Linked DNA regions of Oreochromis niloticus. The protein of the gene in region 1 interacts with the protein of each later gene in a biochemical or structural test. Links are inferred from orthologs where the notes say so. Each region holds a gene or a part of one and is shown in the gene's direction. Other genes may lie near its edges.

What was found.
Region 2: the proteins of tjp1a (region 1) and cgna form a complex in vitro, tested with the Homo sapiens proteins (2 studies listed by BioGRID and IntAct, with this or other methods). The link is inferred for Oreochromis niloticus from reciprocal best matches to the Homo sapiens genes TJP1 and CGN.

Annotation. Positions count from the first base shown.
Region 1 is NC_031965.2:19,077,502-19,086,204, reverse strand, and holds the start of tjp1a (tight junction protein ZO-1), read left to right. Parts: upstream 1-5,117; 5' UTR 5,118-5,282; coding exon 5,283-5,374; intron 5,375-5,593; exon of another isoform or gene 5,594-5,608; coding exon of another isoform or gene 5,609-5,640; intron 5,641-8,703. UniProt on the Homo sapiens protein: TJP1, TJP2, and TJP3 are closely related scaffolding proteins that link tight junction (TJ) transmembrane proteins such as claudins, junctional adhesion molecules, and occludin to the actin cytoskeleton.
Region 2 is NC_031976.2:20,778,830-20,788,209, reverse strand, and holds the start of cgna (cingulin), read left to right. Parts: upstream 1-5,531; 5' UTR 5,532-5,745; intron 5,746-9,380. Other genes in the region: she (SH2 domain-containing adapter protein E), read right to left, coding at 760-1,105, 1,350-1,604, 2,993-3,119, 3,537-3,983. UniProt on the Homo sapiens protein: Probably plays a role in the formation and regulation of the tight junction (TJ) paracellular permeability barrier.

The DNA of each region.
Region 1 (8,703 bases):
ACAGCTGAGGAAGTTTTTGGTTTCTTTTTTCAAAGCTTGTCAGTTGATTCCAAGTCAGTTTGCAAACAGAGGGACTGAAATCTTAAATTTCATTTTTACTTTACAATAACAGTTCAAATTTACCAGCGGTCTTCACAGCCTCACAGTGACACCATTTTAGTGCTTATATCATCTTATTTAGTTTTATTTTAGTAACACTTTCATGTGCGTTGAGTAACTCAGAACTCGAATTATTGAACTTTTCCTTGTTTATCTTACATCATCTTGCTGTTGTGTATGAAGCCATATCAGGTGTCAGGGTAAAATGTGGCCAAGCCCAGAGACAGTGATGCTCTGCAGTGGAGTGTTGAGTTACAGCAGGAGTGCAGCATCCACATTGCACAGGGAAACGGCTATCCTGGTTTTGAGTCTTTTTTTGGATCATCGATAGGATATGATGTTTACGTGGAAGACAGAGAAATCGAGGTATTCATACCCCCAAAGGTATCCTGGGTAATTCTAAAGCGGCTAACCCAACACTATATCCATTAAATGAACTTATCCGACTTTCCAGACTTTTCCCACTGTATGCTCTGGGAAACCAGAGTTGTGTAATCTCTGTACTACAGACTTGAATCGCCCTGCTTTGCCTTTTGCTTCTTCACATCTAAATTTCACACTTCCACTACAGAAAGACATAACTGATTTTCTTCATCACTCCAAAAGTGACAATTTGGCCTCTGGCAGTGTTTTTTTCCTTCTTTGGCTGTCGTTGAAGGGCATGTGAGTACAGGAAACTTCAAAAAGCGGTCTATAATAACAACTGGGGCAGTCCCTGTGAGCTGTACAGACACCACTCAGAGCAGGGAGAGACAGATGACAGGTGAATGATGACACGCATCAGCCATTCGGTGACTAATTTTCTGTGCTTACTCAGACGTAATAATCTGCCGCTGTATGCTCAGCTGATGTGGTCCATGTGTCTGCTCCTGCTGTCTGCTTTTTGGTATGAAAGAGAGGCAGAGCAAGAGTGAGACAGGAGAGCAGTCCAAGGCTACAGATTTAATCTGGCTGCTGTGGTCATGTGATTAATTGTGGCCAGGGGCCAGTGGATAGTGTAATTTATGGCGGTGGGGGGGGGATCAACACATTTGGATGGTTGCTGCTCCTGAGGGAAATCTCACTCTTAACCAAACCAGCATTCTTTTCAATCCCTCTTTAACCCACCATAACATCACATCTGTGGCAGCTGGGTTTGGGGACAGTTAGCCTTGTTTTGTTTTTTTGTCTGTGGCTATATAAGGAGGTGTAGTTTTATGTTTGAGGCCATAAAATGAGTGCAGAAGAAGCTAAGTGAGGCCCAGAGAATCTATTTTAAACTTTTGGGGCTAATGGAGCCAGTAAATTGCGTTTAATACCAGAGATTAAAGGGAATATCGACAGCCTGCTGAGGACCGTGCGTCAGTTTTCGCTGTCCTTTTTGGCTTAAAACCATATCACTGCTGTGGTGACCTCACCCTCCTTCAGACCACTGGCACGCTGGTGTGTGTATGTGTGTACATGTTTATTTAATCCTCTTCCCAACTCCAAGAACTGTAAATAAACATCAGAGGAGTTTCATGAGAGGCTGTGTTCAGTTTTTTGGGGTGAATTTTCTGTTGTTTTCAGAGCTGCCAATATCAAGCAGTGCTGATAACAGCAGTTTCCTCCTGACCTTCCCCACCAGCTGCTCACCAGCTTGCTCCATCCAAAATTTACCTGCCTTTGCATTGGCTTGCTGGTTCCATTGGCTTGCTTTGCATTGGCTTGCTGGTCAAAGATAGAGTTTATATCTACATTTGCTTTTTTCTGGTGCATGGGCCGTCTCAAGGGGACTATGGTTTATACTCAGTCCTTCTCCCATCTTTCATTCTGTTTATTAGTCTGAACAAATATGTAAATACAGGGATAGGGACATGCTGTTTCCCCTCGTGATGCAGCTTCATTATAAAATATGCAGGATGCAATCCAGCTTCATTGCCAAATTCTTTAATGGTAAGTGGTCCTGCCCAAGGGGTTTATGCAGAAGGAGTCTGTGAACTCTCTTTATGGTTACATCATAATCTAAATTATTCGACAGCCCTGGGAAATGCATTTCACTTGTTTGACAGATGTCACGCACACGGGGAGTAACTCCTCCTTAGGTCATGAGCGCACAGCCTCCTCTGCGTCCCCTCGTCTTTCAGGTCTCACTAAAGACTTGTATTTACTGGGCATTTAAATTTGACACCGAATCAATCACTGAATTGATTATCATCTGTAGACACTCTGTGAACTATCAGCACCTAAAGGGTAAGTGTTGGGTCTGTTCCCACAAACCCCGCTAATTCTAGAGACTTATTCATCATGAATGAAAACAAGACAGTCAGCGATCGATCGATTACTTGCGCAAGGGAGGCCTCGTCTATGTCCAGCATGGAAGTGACCCCGATGAGGGCCTCCTCTCGCTGGCTTTTATTGACAAACTTCAAACAATAGTTTACAAAACACCTCCCCTCGCAACCCCCTTTGGTTACAAAGACAAGGCACTGTATGTATATGCATGCAGGTGTGTGTGTGTGTGTGTGTGTCCTCCTGCTGACCAAAGGGTCGTAAACGCAGGAAGCTTACATCAAAGGAAGTAGATCTTCCAGATAGGATGTATCTGCTATAAAACCTCCCCCAACACAAAGTGGTTAGAGGTGCTCAGGATCAAAGGAATAGCTTTGATAATACTGCTTGAACTAAGACTGTACAAATTTAAGAAACACAATGGCAACATTCAACAATTAGACCTAACAGTAAGTAAGTGTAACCTCAGCCTTGCATTTAGTATGGATGGCATTAGGAGGTATAGCATGTATGTTAAAAACAAAACACATTAGTAATCCATCATAATATCTACATTATAATGTTAACTATAATATTCTTTAATCTAGTTATTGGAAAATGTAAAAGAACAATGTATTTATGTGTGTATAATATGCACCATTAGCAAGTATATTAAAATAAATTAAGAGGAGATATATATTTTTTACTTATTACAGTAATGTTGATTGTCCATTTTATTCAGTTGGAGCTGTGTGGTGGTTTAAGATGACCCAAGATTTTAATGCACAGCTCATGCTTCCAAAAAAGACTGGAAACGGAGTAAAATGTCTAAAAAAAATAGCACAATGCAACAGTCTGCAAACCTTTTAAGCTCTATATTTAACTGAAAATATTACAAATACAACATGTTGTTGCTTATTTTGAATTTATTGCCAGTAATATGTTTCAAAAATGGTGGTACAGTGTTTTCTTTCACTGTTTTATCACCTCTTCTGTGAAAAAACAAAAAAAGAACTTGGGAAGTGGAGAGAATAATACTGAAGTATTTAAAGCAAAATGTTTTCCTATTCCAGGCGGACTTACGAGTTCGGCTTTAATAGTGTAGAGCAGGGATGTCAAACACGTTACCACATATGGCCCCCTTTGAGCTTACGAGGGCGGGACCAGTGAAACACCCCTTTTTCTCAGAGTTACCAACTTTACACATTCGATCCCTGAGGTATTTTAATGAAAGAAAAAGACGTACAATTTCAATAGCACATCCCATTTTTTCTACATGATAAAGAAAAATCTGTCAGCATGACTCATTGGGCTTAAATGTGTAAAATGACAGAAAAAGTTCTGGTAGCTCATTGTGTAGACGGCCCTCTAATAATATTTTTTTTAATGTAAACCCATATAAAAAGCACAAATTTCTGTAGCAGACAGTGAAAAACAAACTTTTAGTCATTTAATTGTTTATCTATTACTTAATTAATTTGGTGTAATATGAATGGCTCTGGGACTGTGGGGGTGTGTCCATAATGTATGCTCTCCTTCACATTTTCGAGAGCCACCCAGGGACCCAAATTGGTGTCTTTGGTGGGCCAGTTTTGGCCCCTGGGCCTTATGGTTGACAGCCCTAGTCTAAAGCATCATTTTTTGTATTTTTAATTGCACTGAATAATTTTTACAATTGGTCAACAGACATGATGTTTTAATACATGCAGAGCGTGGTCATTAGTAAACGACATCATTAGTAAATGTTGCGCCACAACTTGTATTAAGCTTTCATGGTGCCTTCACAGATTTGCAACTTACCTCTGCTTCATGGTCAGATGTGCCTCATAAAATGATGGATGCTGGCTTTTGTACTCATTGGTCTCTTTGTCTTTAGTCTGGAAAATATGAGCTCAATGGTTTAAAATAAATTAAAAAACAACATATTTTGACTCCTGCAATTGGAGGACAGTTTTTTTCCACTTTGTGTGAAGCTCAGAAAAGGCAGCTGGTTTCCTGTATCATCTGCATTTATGTTTTTAGTCTTTATATAGGCACAGGAATACAGGAATAGTTCTCCTTTGTAATACATGGGGTTTTTTCATTCTTCATACTTAAAGGTCCAGGTTACCAAATCTGGTCACCTACTTGCCTCCTGATTATTTAATTCCATATGAGCTGATTTGTTCCTCTCCACCTCCACTTTATGATATTTAAATCCACCCCATGCTTTAATTCAGTTTAATGGACCAATCTCGCAGAAAACAAGGTCGAAAACACACCTTCTCAGTTTTACAATCCTGGGATTTCTCTAAGCATCAGTTAGACGACGTCTCCCCCCCCCTCCACACACACACACACACGCACGCACACTAAAGCCATTACATGGCTTCCTCTCTCCTCCTCCCTCCCTCCTCCTGTGTCACTCTCCTGCTCTCTCCCTCTCTGGCTGAACACACGCGCACTCTCTTTCCTACCTCGCAGACGCTTGGGTGCCGTCGCCGCTGCATCCTACCGCTCACTGTTGAACCGCCTCTTTCCCTCGACTCTTTTTCTCCACACAAACAAACCGGCATTTCACGGTTTGGCGGCCGGGAAAGTGTCCGCCATACGAGGCAAACCACAACAATGACCCGGTCCTGACTAAAATTGAATAGATTAGCCAATCTATTCTGAGCTCTAATGAGATTAGAGGGTCAGCGCGGACATGGGTCGCGGCGGCGTGGCACCTTTCCTTGAACTCCTCCGGGAACGTCCTCCCTGTCAGCGGTGCTTCCAGCGTGGAAATGGCGTTTTTGACACCGAGGATGCCGCGGATGACGCGAGGGGACAATAACAGACATTTGAATGCACGCTCACCTGTGCCGCTTTGGTGGCGCGCGGATTCCTAGAAGTAGCAGCACCAGCAGCAGTAGTTGTAGTTGTAGTAAAAGTAGCAGCAGCAGAAGCGGCAGCAGGAGTTGCAGAAGGAGAAGATGAAGTACCAGAAATATATAACGGTGATGCAGATGGCCATGGGAGTGACAGCCTCCAACAAAGACTGCCTCCCCGCAAAGAGACAGCTGTGGTGAGTATGGACAAAGAGGAGGAGGTGCGCGCTTTGGTTCGGAGCGTGTGTTGGTGCGTGTGGAGCGTAGGGGAAAGCAGGTTTGAAATGAACCTCTGGGCTTTGTTGTCTTGTTTGAGAAGCTCCAGTCGCGCTTTTCTGCTATGTCTGCTGTGAAGTTGAAGCTCAGCAGCTGCTGGCGGAAGCGACTGCCTCCATCCGCCTCTGTGACGCTCTGCCTTCAACAACAGTTTGATGTGCGCGCCGGTGACATCGACACCCAGCAGGTATTTAGGCGGGGAGGAGGAGGAGAGGGGTGAACAGTGCGCAATCGCCCCTTCTCCGTGTTCCTCCTGGTGGTCTCTGAGTGTTATGATCCGCTGGTGAGGTTTTCACGAAACAGAGCAGGTGGATTTACAGCAACAGTGAAACGACGCGGACACACACCGCTTTCTTATTTTACCCGCACGCACTCGGCGATTTCAGTTTTCCGAGCAGCTCTCTGGTCTCGCGTCTATTTCTGCGATCACGTGTAGTAGTAAAAAAAACCCAAAAAACGCTCATCTCTTATTTAGCAGCTTCTTGCCACCTGCATTTGTGTAGGAGCGGTGCTTGGTGTTTAACTCTCATTGGTTGATCACGTCTCCGTGCGTTTCCATTTAAATATGTCCACCTAGTTTAATACACGTCCACGTTTGATATCATTTATCCGTCTAAAAATGTTCTCTGGTGTTTCCGGATGAATCAGCAAAACTTAACAAGCAAAAGACTTTTTTAAAATTTATTTTAGAAAGCTGTCTCTACATCTCACCTCTGTTGCAATTAATTCCCCATCGCTTTCCTTCTCTCCAAAAGTTCCCAGGATGCTTTAATACTGTAAGATTTCTTTTTTGAAACAAAACGAAACAAAATCTCTCTTCTCTGCTTCTAGCTTTCACAGCTACATGACAAGATGACAGCAAACTAAGATATTTTGAAGAAATCATGTCAACATTTATAAACTCCAGATATTTTTTTTACATCACAAAACTATTAAAATTTACCTGAACAAAAGTTTGATAATGCTGCACTGAGCTTCTCTTCAAAGATGATTTAAATATGATACCAATGACAAACTGACCTATTTCTTTATGCACTCGATGAATTGATTAGTTGGTGTCAGGGCGCAAGATGCTACTGCCTTAACCTTATTTGGCTTCTGACAACCTGTCAGAGGCTGTTATACTGTGATACACTGTGAATGTGTTTGCACTATAGGGCATAATAAAGGAAACTGTGAAGAACGCTTCTTTTACTAATTGAAATAAGGAGCATTATAAAGAAGAAAAGGAACAAAAAAAGAAAACGTGACACAGCAGAGTGGTGTTCAGTCTAATTATAGGATCTTATCACAATGAGCAGATTCAGTCTTTCTTCTACTGTAATCCACGCAGATAACATTAAGCACCCAGCACAATCCTTACAGATTTGCACTGCTTTACACTGAGAAGACAAACTCTGGTTCCTTGCGTAGGATGTGCAAGGCTTTGAGGGGGTCCATCCTACATGTGGGAGCAAATGGGTCCATTACTTTGAATCAGAAATGATCTCACATGGGAGAAAGGATAGGTTTGCTCCTCTCCAACCACTGTCAAACATGTAGGACAGCGCACAGCGGTGACTTGGTTTTGACACTTCTCCCTTAAGAGAGGCGCAGTGGTATGTCCGGGGCCATCACATCACGGTGGGGGAAGGGACACGGCCATTAAAAGTGGATTACTGTATCGCCTCCGACAGCCACTTTAACGGAGCGTAGCTGAGCCAGCGTGTAGCTGCAGTGTGTGTTTCATGGAGTCACCCTTGGATTCTCTTGCCTGCCATTTCCGTCTTTATTCAGTGAAGTCAGAGTCCAGAGTCAGTAGGCTCACGTGCACACAAGTAACTCGCTTGCTGTGAAGACTGAGCTAATGCTTAAAAATGTAAGGTGTGACTTTAGGTTGGAATACCAAAGCAATGACCCAAGTTTAGGTGATCACTGTGCATCATAGAAGTTTAATCCTGATGTGTTTCAACCGGTGAGCTAATAGCAGTTGACGAGTTGTAGCTTCAACTTCAATCTGTTTTATATAACTGCTTTCATATTTAGAAGTAGTTAGTTTCTTAATTTCAGTCCTCCAGAGGGAAAAATGCATTGCTTTACATTCACTTTACTCTTTGACTCGTGCAACACAAGAAAGGAATTTAAACACCCGAAGAAGCCAGGCTGAACAGTTTGTATCTTCATAACTAAATGAAATGTCAGCGTCTTCTGAAAGGTTGAGTAAGTGGTCTGGTTTCCTTCCATTCATACCACAAGGTTGAGATTGCACAACGCAGAAATAAGCTGCTGCTGGAAGACCTAGCTCATACATGATTTATATCAGACTCACTTGCACTCAGGTAATGGGAGATGTTGTTCCTTAACGAGCGTAAGAACAGGACTGGCTGTGATGTCGCGACCAGAGACAACGAAAATGTCTGAAATTCAGCGAGCTGCAGCGATAACGTCCCAAATAACTGCTGCCAAGATCAAGTAGGCGTGTAGAGCGATTAACTAATCTCAGCATCGAGGTTGGACAGCGACTGCCTCCAGTACTGTCGTGGTTGCGACAGTACTGCAACTGGTTGGAGTAATTTTGACTGTCGTATAATTATTTTGTACAATATTGAGATCACAAATATTTGTCAGGATTCTTCACTGATTTTAGTGGCAAAAATTGTTTTATGTAAGCAGAACTTGCAAAGATTTGTGTACATCTTCACGTATTATGAGATTATTAGAATATTAAAGGTAGGGTCTTTCACTCCATTCCTTGTACCTGCATGATGGATAATATTAATAGTAGCTGTGAGATCTCTTTATTTTACTCCTGCGACAGGTTTTGTCTCTTTGGAAAAAAAGTATGTGAGGGGATAACACGTCTTTTGCACGGTGTGACCCTTGTTTTTATCAATAGGTGAGTTGATGATTAATGTTAGCATTGCACAGTTTCTCTTTGACTTCATGCATGAATTATACTGCAGTTTTTGTTGTTTTATTTCAGATAGCTGAAGACGCTTTGTTGCTTTGCAGTGCAGACACACACAACTCTTTTTGCAGATTTTCTTCACTTGCACTAAATCAAAAGTATTTCCAAACAACAGACAATGATCTGTTGTGAGAAATTAGATTTTTGTCCCAAACATTTGAATTTGTTGTATCTGTTTTTGAATGCAGAGAACAGTTGGTTACTTTGTAACCTTGGTTCTCTGAGTGAGAGACTAGCTTCTGGCCGCTCTGGGACACGTTCCGATCAAACCATCACCGGTGCCACTTCTGGACAGCTGTGAGT
Region 2 (9,380 bases), on another chromosome or scaffold:
TGGGGGTGGGAAGGGAGGGCTCTTCTAAAAATTGTAGGCTTATCGTAAATAAATAAAAAAAATGCAGCGTGGAGCTACAGAGCAAGCAAATATGAGGTGCACTTTACGCTGACGATGCTTTGGGAAATGTGATTAATTTAAATAAAGACCTACAATACACAGATCTGAGATAAAGGTGAGCAGATTTCTTAACCTGTCGTCTCATTTGTTTAATCCCTTTCAACCACTAAATCTGTTCAGGGATGTTGTAGTGGGTGCTAAATTTGATTTCAGCATGCAGAGGTGAGAGGTAGGTCACAGGTCTATCAAAGAAATGATACATAAAAAGAAAAGACTCTTCCCTGGGGAATATTTTGGGCTTAAGAGGTTGGATTTAAACCCTGGACATATTCACTTAACACCATGCTAGCTGACAAATAAGGTATCTATATCACTGTATATGTTTATTTTACAGGGAATTTCCTTCTGGAGATGAAGGTCTAATAAATTTTATACAGTTATGTAATCTTTTTAAAGTACTGCAGATTTGTTTATTTGACTTTTCATTCAATGTAATTGTTTTTAAGTATATTTTGCGCTTCAAAAACCTGTCTTAAATGTCTCAGGTAATGCACATAATATTTTTGAACATGTCAACACTGCCATGTAATAAATATGGTGGCTTGCAGTCATCATATTATTCATTTGTTACTCAAAACTTTACTTGTTTCAGTCCTTACTTATGGACACAAATATGCCTTTTTTTCCCCCCTTCCTTACCTCTGCTTCTCCAGGGGCACGCTGGGGTCCATTTTGGTCGCCTCCCCATCCAGTGGGGGAATGGGAGAGGTAGGAGATGGAGGGGAAAGTTTGGTAGGGCTGGACGAGGGTGAGAGCTTGAGGGTGGGAAAGGAGGAAGATGGCTGTGTGAGAGGGGCGAGTTTAAGAATAGGAGAAGATGGAAAGGAAGAGGAGGAGGAAGATGAAGGAGAAGAGGAGACAAGTGTTTTATGGCTCCAGTTCCTCTGCCTCAGGGTCTGCTGCTGCTGTTGCTGCTGCTGCTGCTGGCGACCAGGGGTTGAATTGTTCTCTTTACTGAGAGAACAATCCACCGCTTCAAACTGAGCTAAAAGAAGCAGGAGAGACAATATCAACCTTTCATAATAAAGTTCTATCAAAGCATGCCAGTGATACCAAAGTAAACATATCTCTGGAAATTAATTCAGAAGGATTGTTTTGTTTCCTCAATAAAGTAAACACAAAATTGCTGTTATGTGTGTGCTGTACAAACAAAATCCTCGTTATCCTTCTTCCACACCCTAAACCCTAAACCCCCACCCTTCCCATGATCCCTCCCTCCTTTTCTCTACCTGACAGAGCTCTAACAATGTCCTCCTTTCTCCACTCCCACGGCAGTTCGTACTCTCCAGCTGGACGGACATCAGACTCCGGTCGTGTGACAGGGATCCACACGCCCTCACTGTCGCCTTCCAGTCCTCCTTCGTAGGGTATGTCATAGATGTTTGGGGGTGCAGGCATTACCTCTTCTGCCTTCCCCTCGCTTTGGCCTCGATCCAACAGGACACATACTTTCAAGAGGTCTTTGGAGCCCCGTCTACGAACCTCTACAGCAGAATGGATATGTGATTAGCTAACTGTATATAAGACTTGAACAGCTAAAGGCACATAATTGGCCTTCCCTTCAATATTACACCCCCACCTTAGTGTTTAAAGCACATTTCCCTTACAATATGTGTTCAGAAAAACAACTAAATTACAGTAGAAAAAAATTAAAAATGTACTTTTACTGAAATAATTTACGTGCCATTTCAAACATAACCACTATAGTCCAAATCAGATATTTTGGACAAAATACAGAATAAAACTGACGTTTAGAAACATCCTTAGTTTATTACAAGCTTTCACTCAAGTGCACAAATTAGGAGTTTACACCACACAGTCTGTAAAGCAACATTGTGCTGATTACATATATAGACTCCACTGTTCTGTCCTTCATTTGCTCGTTTCTTTTAAATAAATCAAGTATTGTTTGAATATTGTCTTTTTTTAACATTTTCGGGGAATTTTAATTGTTATGTTCCTTTTTGTTTTTTCATTTGGTGCCCGGCAGGTAGCCTGTGTGTCTACACTATTGTGTGACCAAACAATGGATTTACAGGAAGAAAAGGTCAACACAGCCGTTGATTGGCTCACTAACCGGACCGCTTCCTGACTGTTGGGAAGTGATTGGGTGAGACCGGGGGGAAACCTGTAGGTTTTTAGGGAGGGGTGAGAGGGGGGCTTTCGATTCTTGTCACATGCAGGGGACCATAAAGTATCTGGTGTCTGTCTCTGTGTGTTTGTGTATGTGTGGAAGGGGAGGCAGGAGGGCATTAGGGCCAATGTCCTATCGAGAGAATGGGGCAAAGGAAACAGAGGCAGGAGACAGGAAGCTGGAAGAGGAAGCTGCACCCATTGTCCCTGCACAACACTGTTACTATAGCCACCGCCAGCGGGGAGGGAAGTCAGTAGAGAGACTGAGGATCTAGCTTGGCTCTCAGTCCCTTTAAAATGATAAGTTAACAAGAATGTGATGCAGTCTAAGTGCTGATAAACTTAAATAAGATGTATAATTAGTGTTCCTTTACGAGCTCACAATACACTTGGCTTATCAAGCACGATATACAAAGTGAAGCAAAAGGTTAAAAAATTGGAATTAAGTTCTCAGAAAAATAAAAGATAGTCAACTTAAAGAAAAAAATACAAGGTGAAGATGTAGGAAGGATGTTGCTAGTGTTATTGTTGTGTTTCTATAAGCGATTCTGCCATTCTGTTTAAAGATGTGCTGTAGGACCAAGTTCACGACTGAATTCTTCTGCTATATTCACAAAAATATGTCGTTCACATTTGCTCAGCTGCTGAGAAAACAGTCCAAAACTCCGGAAAGCCAAGAAGCACCTTCATAATAAAACTTTGGCTGCTGAGATACGAGATCATGTGACCCTGACCTCACCTGTGATGATGACCTGGGCGTCATAAGGCTCCATGTACCCATCATTCACTCCTGCTCTCTCAGCTTCTCTCTGCTCCTTTGTTTTCTCCGCATCAAAAGGATCTGCATAGTCCTCCAGGATAATCAGCTGTTGAAAAGGGAAAAGCACAATGCCGGCCTGCTACCTATTCAAAAGTCACAGAGACAACAAGCAGTGTGCATGTGTGTGTGTGTGTCTGTGCGTGTGTGTATGTGTGTGGTGTCCATGACTGAGTGACAAGTAATGGAGGGACAAGCGGAAATACTTGTGCAAAGAGGTCAGCGCATTGTGTTTGCCTGTGTGATCTGAAACAATGAAGTGAAACTGTATTGTATTCTTTTGAGAACGATGGAAACTGAATACAGGGTTATGATCTGAGACATGGAGGGAAAACACAAAGGAAAGCACTGACCTTAAGCCCTGTACTATAATGATGTTTTAATGAACTAATTCATAAATAAATAGCTGCTGAAATATGAAGACATGTTATATGGGCATGTTATATAATTTCTATAAGTTACTCACCGTTGTTTTAATGTCAGATCGTCCTTTCTCGTTCTCGGGTAGCTTCTGTTCACATATCCCATTGAGTTTGGGGGTCTTTTCTTGTTTGTCCACTTTGATCATCCTGCTGATGTACGCTTGAGCCACACTAGAGGTCCTGACCTGGCGGTTCTCATCCGATGACGCGGTGTCGCTCTTGGTGTTCTTGCGACCTTTTCCAGCCGTGAGACTGTCCCAGACTGTTCCACCAGAACCAGCATTGTTACGACCCAGTTCTGTAGCCGAATTCTTCCTATTTCTCCCTGCCAACAAACCCCCCACTCCCCCATCTCTGCGCTGATTTCCTTTCAAACTGTCTCGTGAAAATGAAGGTTTGGGTCGAGTTTGTGGACCAGATTCGGAGGCTGAGCGCACTCTTTCATTTCCGTTCTTCAGGTTGATGGGGAAATCTCTGAACCATTTTGCCATGGTTGTTAAGTTGATGACACTTCTTACTGATTTTAAAAGTTACTAAAAGTTACTGGATTTTTTCCCACCTCCTTGCATTAGCCTCCCCCTAAAAGTTACTTTTAGCCTTCCTCAACAGCTCCAACTTTACGCACACTCACTTTGTTCACACTTCGACTGAAGTAACTTTGGTATGCAAGGATATCTGACTAATCACTTTAAGCAGATCCCACTTTATGATTCTATGCTGATTCCTAGCTCCTGAGACTCTCTCACAACTTCTGGTGCGTCTTGGAGATCATTAGCCAGCTGCTCTGTGTTGCTGTCACCCTGCACCTGCAGTAACAACTATCCCTGCAGTTTGAAAAGTAACTTTTGCAGAGCATAAACTCGAAAGAATTGGAAGTTTTTCTTTGAACCCAGTAAAGATCCCATTCCCGGAGCGTGAGATAGTGCGTCCAGTCTGTCGACCAGGCGAAGTGATGAGAGGAGTGAAAGGAGAGGAAAGTTGGAGTGAGCAGACTGGGGGATGTCGCTGGTTTCTGGGGAGGAGCTGCGCGCACGGGGCGGAGTGGCAGTTTTACTCAACAAGGAAGATTGTAAATCTCATGAAAACTTTTTATTTCCAGAACCCAAACTCTAAAACTTTTCTTTTTATTCTTCAACACACAATAAGTTTAATAACTGTGTTCAGCTCAGCTCTACACACATAACATTGCAACAGCAAAAGATAACAAAGGACAAAAAAGTTATATTTATTTATATGGGTTTTTTTTTTACACTCAGGGATGTTCCCAGGATTTCTTAAATCTTACACGGGTAAGCTATTACAATGTCAAAAATTGTGCTTAAATTGGAAAAGTGAAGTTTAAATATGTCTGTAGGTTCTCAGTTATCCAGTAGACTGGACTTCAGTGGGTTCATGAAGATGTTTCCCCTCTTGTGCACGAGACTTCTTCAGTTCTGCCCTTTCGATGAGAGGCAAAACATGCTCATAAATCTAAAGAAGTCTCGTTGCCTTCTTTTCAAGCTCTCAATTTTCAATTTAATTTTGTTGTATTCTCAACAATAATCAACTGAAGGTGATTTATATTTACATAAAGACTCAACAATATTAGTAAGAAAAATCCCAAGAATCACATGACCCCTTATGAGCAAGCACTTGGTGACAGTGGGAAGGGAAAAGAAATCACAATTTTGGTTGGAAGACACCAACCGATGCCATCTACAATCTTGTTGCTATGATAGCAAAGTGCTACAGCCCAGAGAACCAGCCGGTGTACGGCTGCGCCATCTACTGGTTAACAGGAGAAATAAACGTTGTGAGGCACCTGCGTCTATCAGTAGTCCTTGAAAAGTTTTGTTTATCTAGGTTACGCGGGTCATTATTTGGAAAAAAAAAAAATACAAGTTCCATTTTCAGCAAAAAAAAGGTGAAAAAATGGTCCAGAAACAAGGAATGAGTGGCATGGAGGTTTCACCAATTACAAACCTAGACAGTATCAATAGCCCCGCCCAAGCCAGCGAAACGGCCCAATCACAGCGCCGTACTTGGCGGGGCTGGGCGGAACGTTTACATCCCTGACAAAAAGGTAACAGGTTGCATTCCCAGCAGCAGCATAATGAACTTATTGCTGTGATAATTTCCGTAGGAGTTAGGTTTTTCTGTTCACGTTTCCGTGTGGGCTTTAATGGATGTCAGTCAATATATCTGAATTATTATCGGCATACAGCAGGCGAGAGGATACGAGAGGAGCAGAAGAATAAGTTCAGAAAAAAAGAGGTAAGTTCACGCTGGGTTTGGGACCTCTCATAGCCAGACAACTAAACCAGACAGGCGCCGCTCCTCGGACAGTTACTTTGACGCTTTGTGGGTTTCTGGTGCTGCCCAGCGGCACTTATTTTTGATTTATGGCAGTTATGTAATAGTTTATTTGGTAGTGTCACTGTGAGCCAGTGTAGCTGAGCAGCTAACGATGGTTCGAGAGAAACAGCGCTACCAGCTAACGTTACTCCAAGATAACTTTTGGATTTGCCCGTTAAGTGAAGGGAAGTAAATGACAAATAAAACAGAATAATACGTCTCTTTAAGACAAATGTAAGTATAGCGAAGGTAGGCTTATTGTCAGAGGTTTAACTTTTAAAACCACAAAGTTGTTTAGAAATGAGCCAGGTGTTTCCGTTTCTGTGCACACCTGTGTACACCTGTGCGACCAGGAGATCTGTCATTGGAACAACGGTACAGGAGAAACGTTTTTAGCACATAGCTCAAAAGGATGAATGCAACTGTAGGGAAACCATTAAAGGATTGAACCCGGGTAAACAATGGATAAACATGCATTTCAAAGTACACCTGCTTTTGTTCTCTTCACAGCTCATGTGAAACTGATGACACGGGCAAGAAGGAACAGCAGATTATAGTTTTGAGGTGGGGAAAGGCTCATGGATTGGGTCGTGAATTTCACTAATTATAGCATTGAGCCTGCAAAGCTTCGGGTACAGTTTCAGAACTCGTAATGCGGTGGGAATGCCTCACATTGGACTAACAGATAAAAGACCTGTGCCGTGTTACACGTACAAGCAGCTGATACACTCAAGTGTGCAGATAAAACGCCATAAAGTGAGTCTCCCACACTGACACACTTTCAGCCCCTGTATGTGTAAAGGACAGAGAGACCAGTGTCAGGAATTTGGAAAAGGGAGGGGTGTATTTATGTGCTCCTACTTTTGTGTCATTTTTTTTGTACATTGTTATGCCAATGAACTCCTTTGCACTGAGAAGAGGAATAAATGGGTGTTTGTTTGAGGGTGAAAGAGGATGAGGGCTTGGTGTTATGTCAAGAATGTAATGGAGAGGGAGTATACTCTGAGGACTGAGTACCTGACTCTCCTTTAAAAGCAGAAGAGAGAGTACAGCACTTGTATCTCTGTTGCTTACATGATGACATTTGTGATTTGCAGGACAGTCCTGTAAAACTTTATGATTCACTTGGAAGAAAAGGAGGATTAAATGTTTTTTACAGCATCCATATGCCAGCTTTATAGCATGCTGTAAACTAGCTCTCAAATAGTCCAACTAGCTATGAGTTGATAACATTTTGATTTATTTGTTTTGTTGGGGTTTTTTTAAGGGCAAATATTTTCAGATGTGGTGTTTTGAGGCTTCCTTGGTTTAGTGTCTGGCTGTTTTCCATCGCTTTCAAGCTCATTCAGCACACAGGCGTTTACATTTTCATTCTTAAGACGTTTATACAGTGCTTACCAAATTTATTAGACCCCCGCGCATTGTAGGTTTTATGGCACATCTGCCCTAAATTAACAGTATCGGTAACCAAAATCATTTTTATGTTTCTGTTCTTTAAAAGTTCTTTAATCAAAATTATGTTTTGGATGCAAAAATCTTAATTATTGCTTTATTTTTTTATTTTATTTTTATTTTTTACAAAAGCAGTAAAGCACATTATTATTTTTCTGATTAAGATGTGTAATTAGAAAAACCGTTTCTGCCAAGTCCGGTTTTGTGGCTTTATGAGGACAGAAGCTCCGCCCACTTGCTGTTCAAACCTTCTGTTTGCTTTTGGTAGCCAGTAAAAAGAAAGTTTAAAGGGAGAGGAGCTCAATGAATTGTTTCAGGTGTTAATTAATTGAGGAGTCAAACCAAAGACCAGTATAGGATAAACAAGGTTTGTTTTGAACTGTGACTCATGCAAAGCTGTTCTCGTATAGTTTGAGAACGAGAGAAGACTGGCTTTACTTAAAAACATAGCACATGCTTACGTACTTGTAGTGCTTACGTTTTGGCATGAAGGGTTGTTTTTATACCCTAAGGATATGTTTTTGGCACATGTTGCCATTACCCTTGTCTGCCATCTCCAGCGGTGTCATTTTTGGGCCAGTCTAGAGATGATGCGATCACATTAGCCATGTGGACTGAGTCAGCAGAGGCATGTGATTCCACACGTTGCCGTTGTTTCATTTTTCTCCTCACCCATTCTGATGTCCTCATTCTTTTTTCCTTTTCCTTTCCACCTTAGGTCTTAAAACGAAAGCAGCTTCAATTCAATTTACTTTTTGAGAATTGAGTTTGAGGCCACAGGCACAGGCTCGTCAGCATAACTGCAGGGTAGCACGACTCTCATGAAATTACAAAAGCTCCAGATATAGCTGTGCAAGCAAAGCTGGTCTGTTATTAAAGTTGCAGTACTCATAGTTATGATTCTGGGTCTCTAGAGTGAACACTGTTTAGTCGCTTATTGGCTAATGGATTGCTTTCTGTATTTAAAAAAAACAAATTCATGGGTTTTACAGACCTGAAACAATCACCTTAGGTGTGACATGTTAGTTTCACTCACGAGTTTAAGATCAAAGGAGAGCTTGTTTGCCATCCTACTCTCAGTGTAGAAAGCATGTTTATTTAGAGTGCTGTGGAGGAAAAAACACTTTGGAGTGAAGCCTAAAAGCAAAATTTAAGCATTGAAAATGACTTCTTATAATCAGATGGACAGTGTGACAGAAGAGAAAGGGGCAGGAGCAGCAGGGGTAGTTAAAGCATTCCAGAATTGCTGCCCTCATTTTCCGCCCCACATCAGCTGGACAATGGGATGAGTTCTCCTCCAACCACGTCCCGCTGTCGGAGCTGGAAGTGCCTTCCTCCTCTGTGACAAATAAACAGATATTCTCAGACAGACATCTTTCTGCTTTACATTTTGGTTTCTTTACACCAGTTTGGCTCACTTGTTGCTTTACGGGTCACATCAGTTTAGATGAGCATGTCCCATTAAATCGCAGATTATTAGTTAGTGCACTTTTCTTGCGTGTCTGTGCTACAATCGTCAGTGGACGACACTTTTGGTTGACCTTGGTTTACAAGAGTGGGCTGAAATCTTTATGCTCGGCTTCACAAACTTGTTGTGACACACGGCGCTTCTTCTGTGGTTCCCAAAGGGTGAAAAAAATCGACCAGCTGCACACAGATACCTTCGAAGGTCATTCTCAGTGACGTCACTCCATTCATTGCTGGGCCAGTCATTACCTTCTTATCTTGCTCCGAAACTGTTTCATAGGACCACTCCTGCTTGCCTCGCTTCTATCTCAGAGTCGCTTGGCTTGTTTGTCTTGTCTTACAGATTAAAAAAAGTTAGTAGAGAAATTTTTAAAAAGTGTTGCATTAATTTATGGAAGCATGTGTCTGTGGAAATAGAGTTATCTATTCAATGGCTACTTTTGTAGCCAGTCCTTTGTAAGGACTGGAGGAGAGGGAGGGTTGTTTCGGAGGAACAGCTTGACTTTGGATTTTATCACACACAGCACTGATAAGAGGAGAAAAGTGGAGTGTGGTTTTTTTTTCCTCTCTCTCTCTCTCACTTCACCCTCCCTCGCTGTTTCCCAGCCCACTTTCTGTCTGTCACCTCCAAAGGC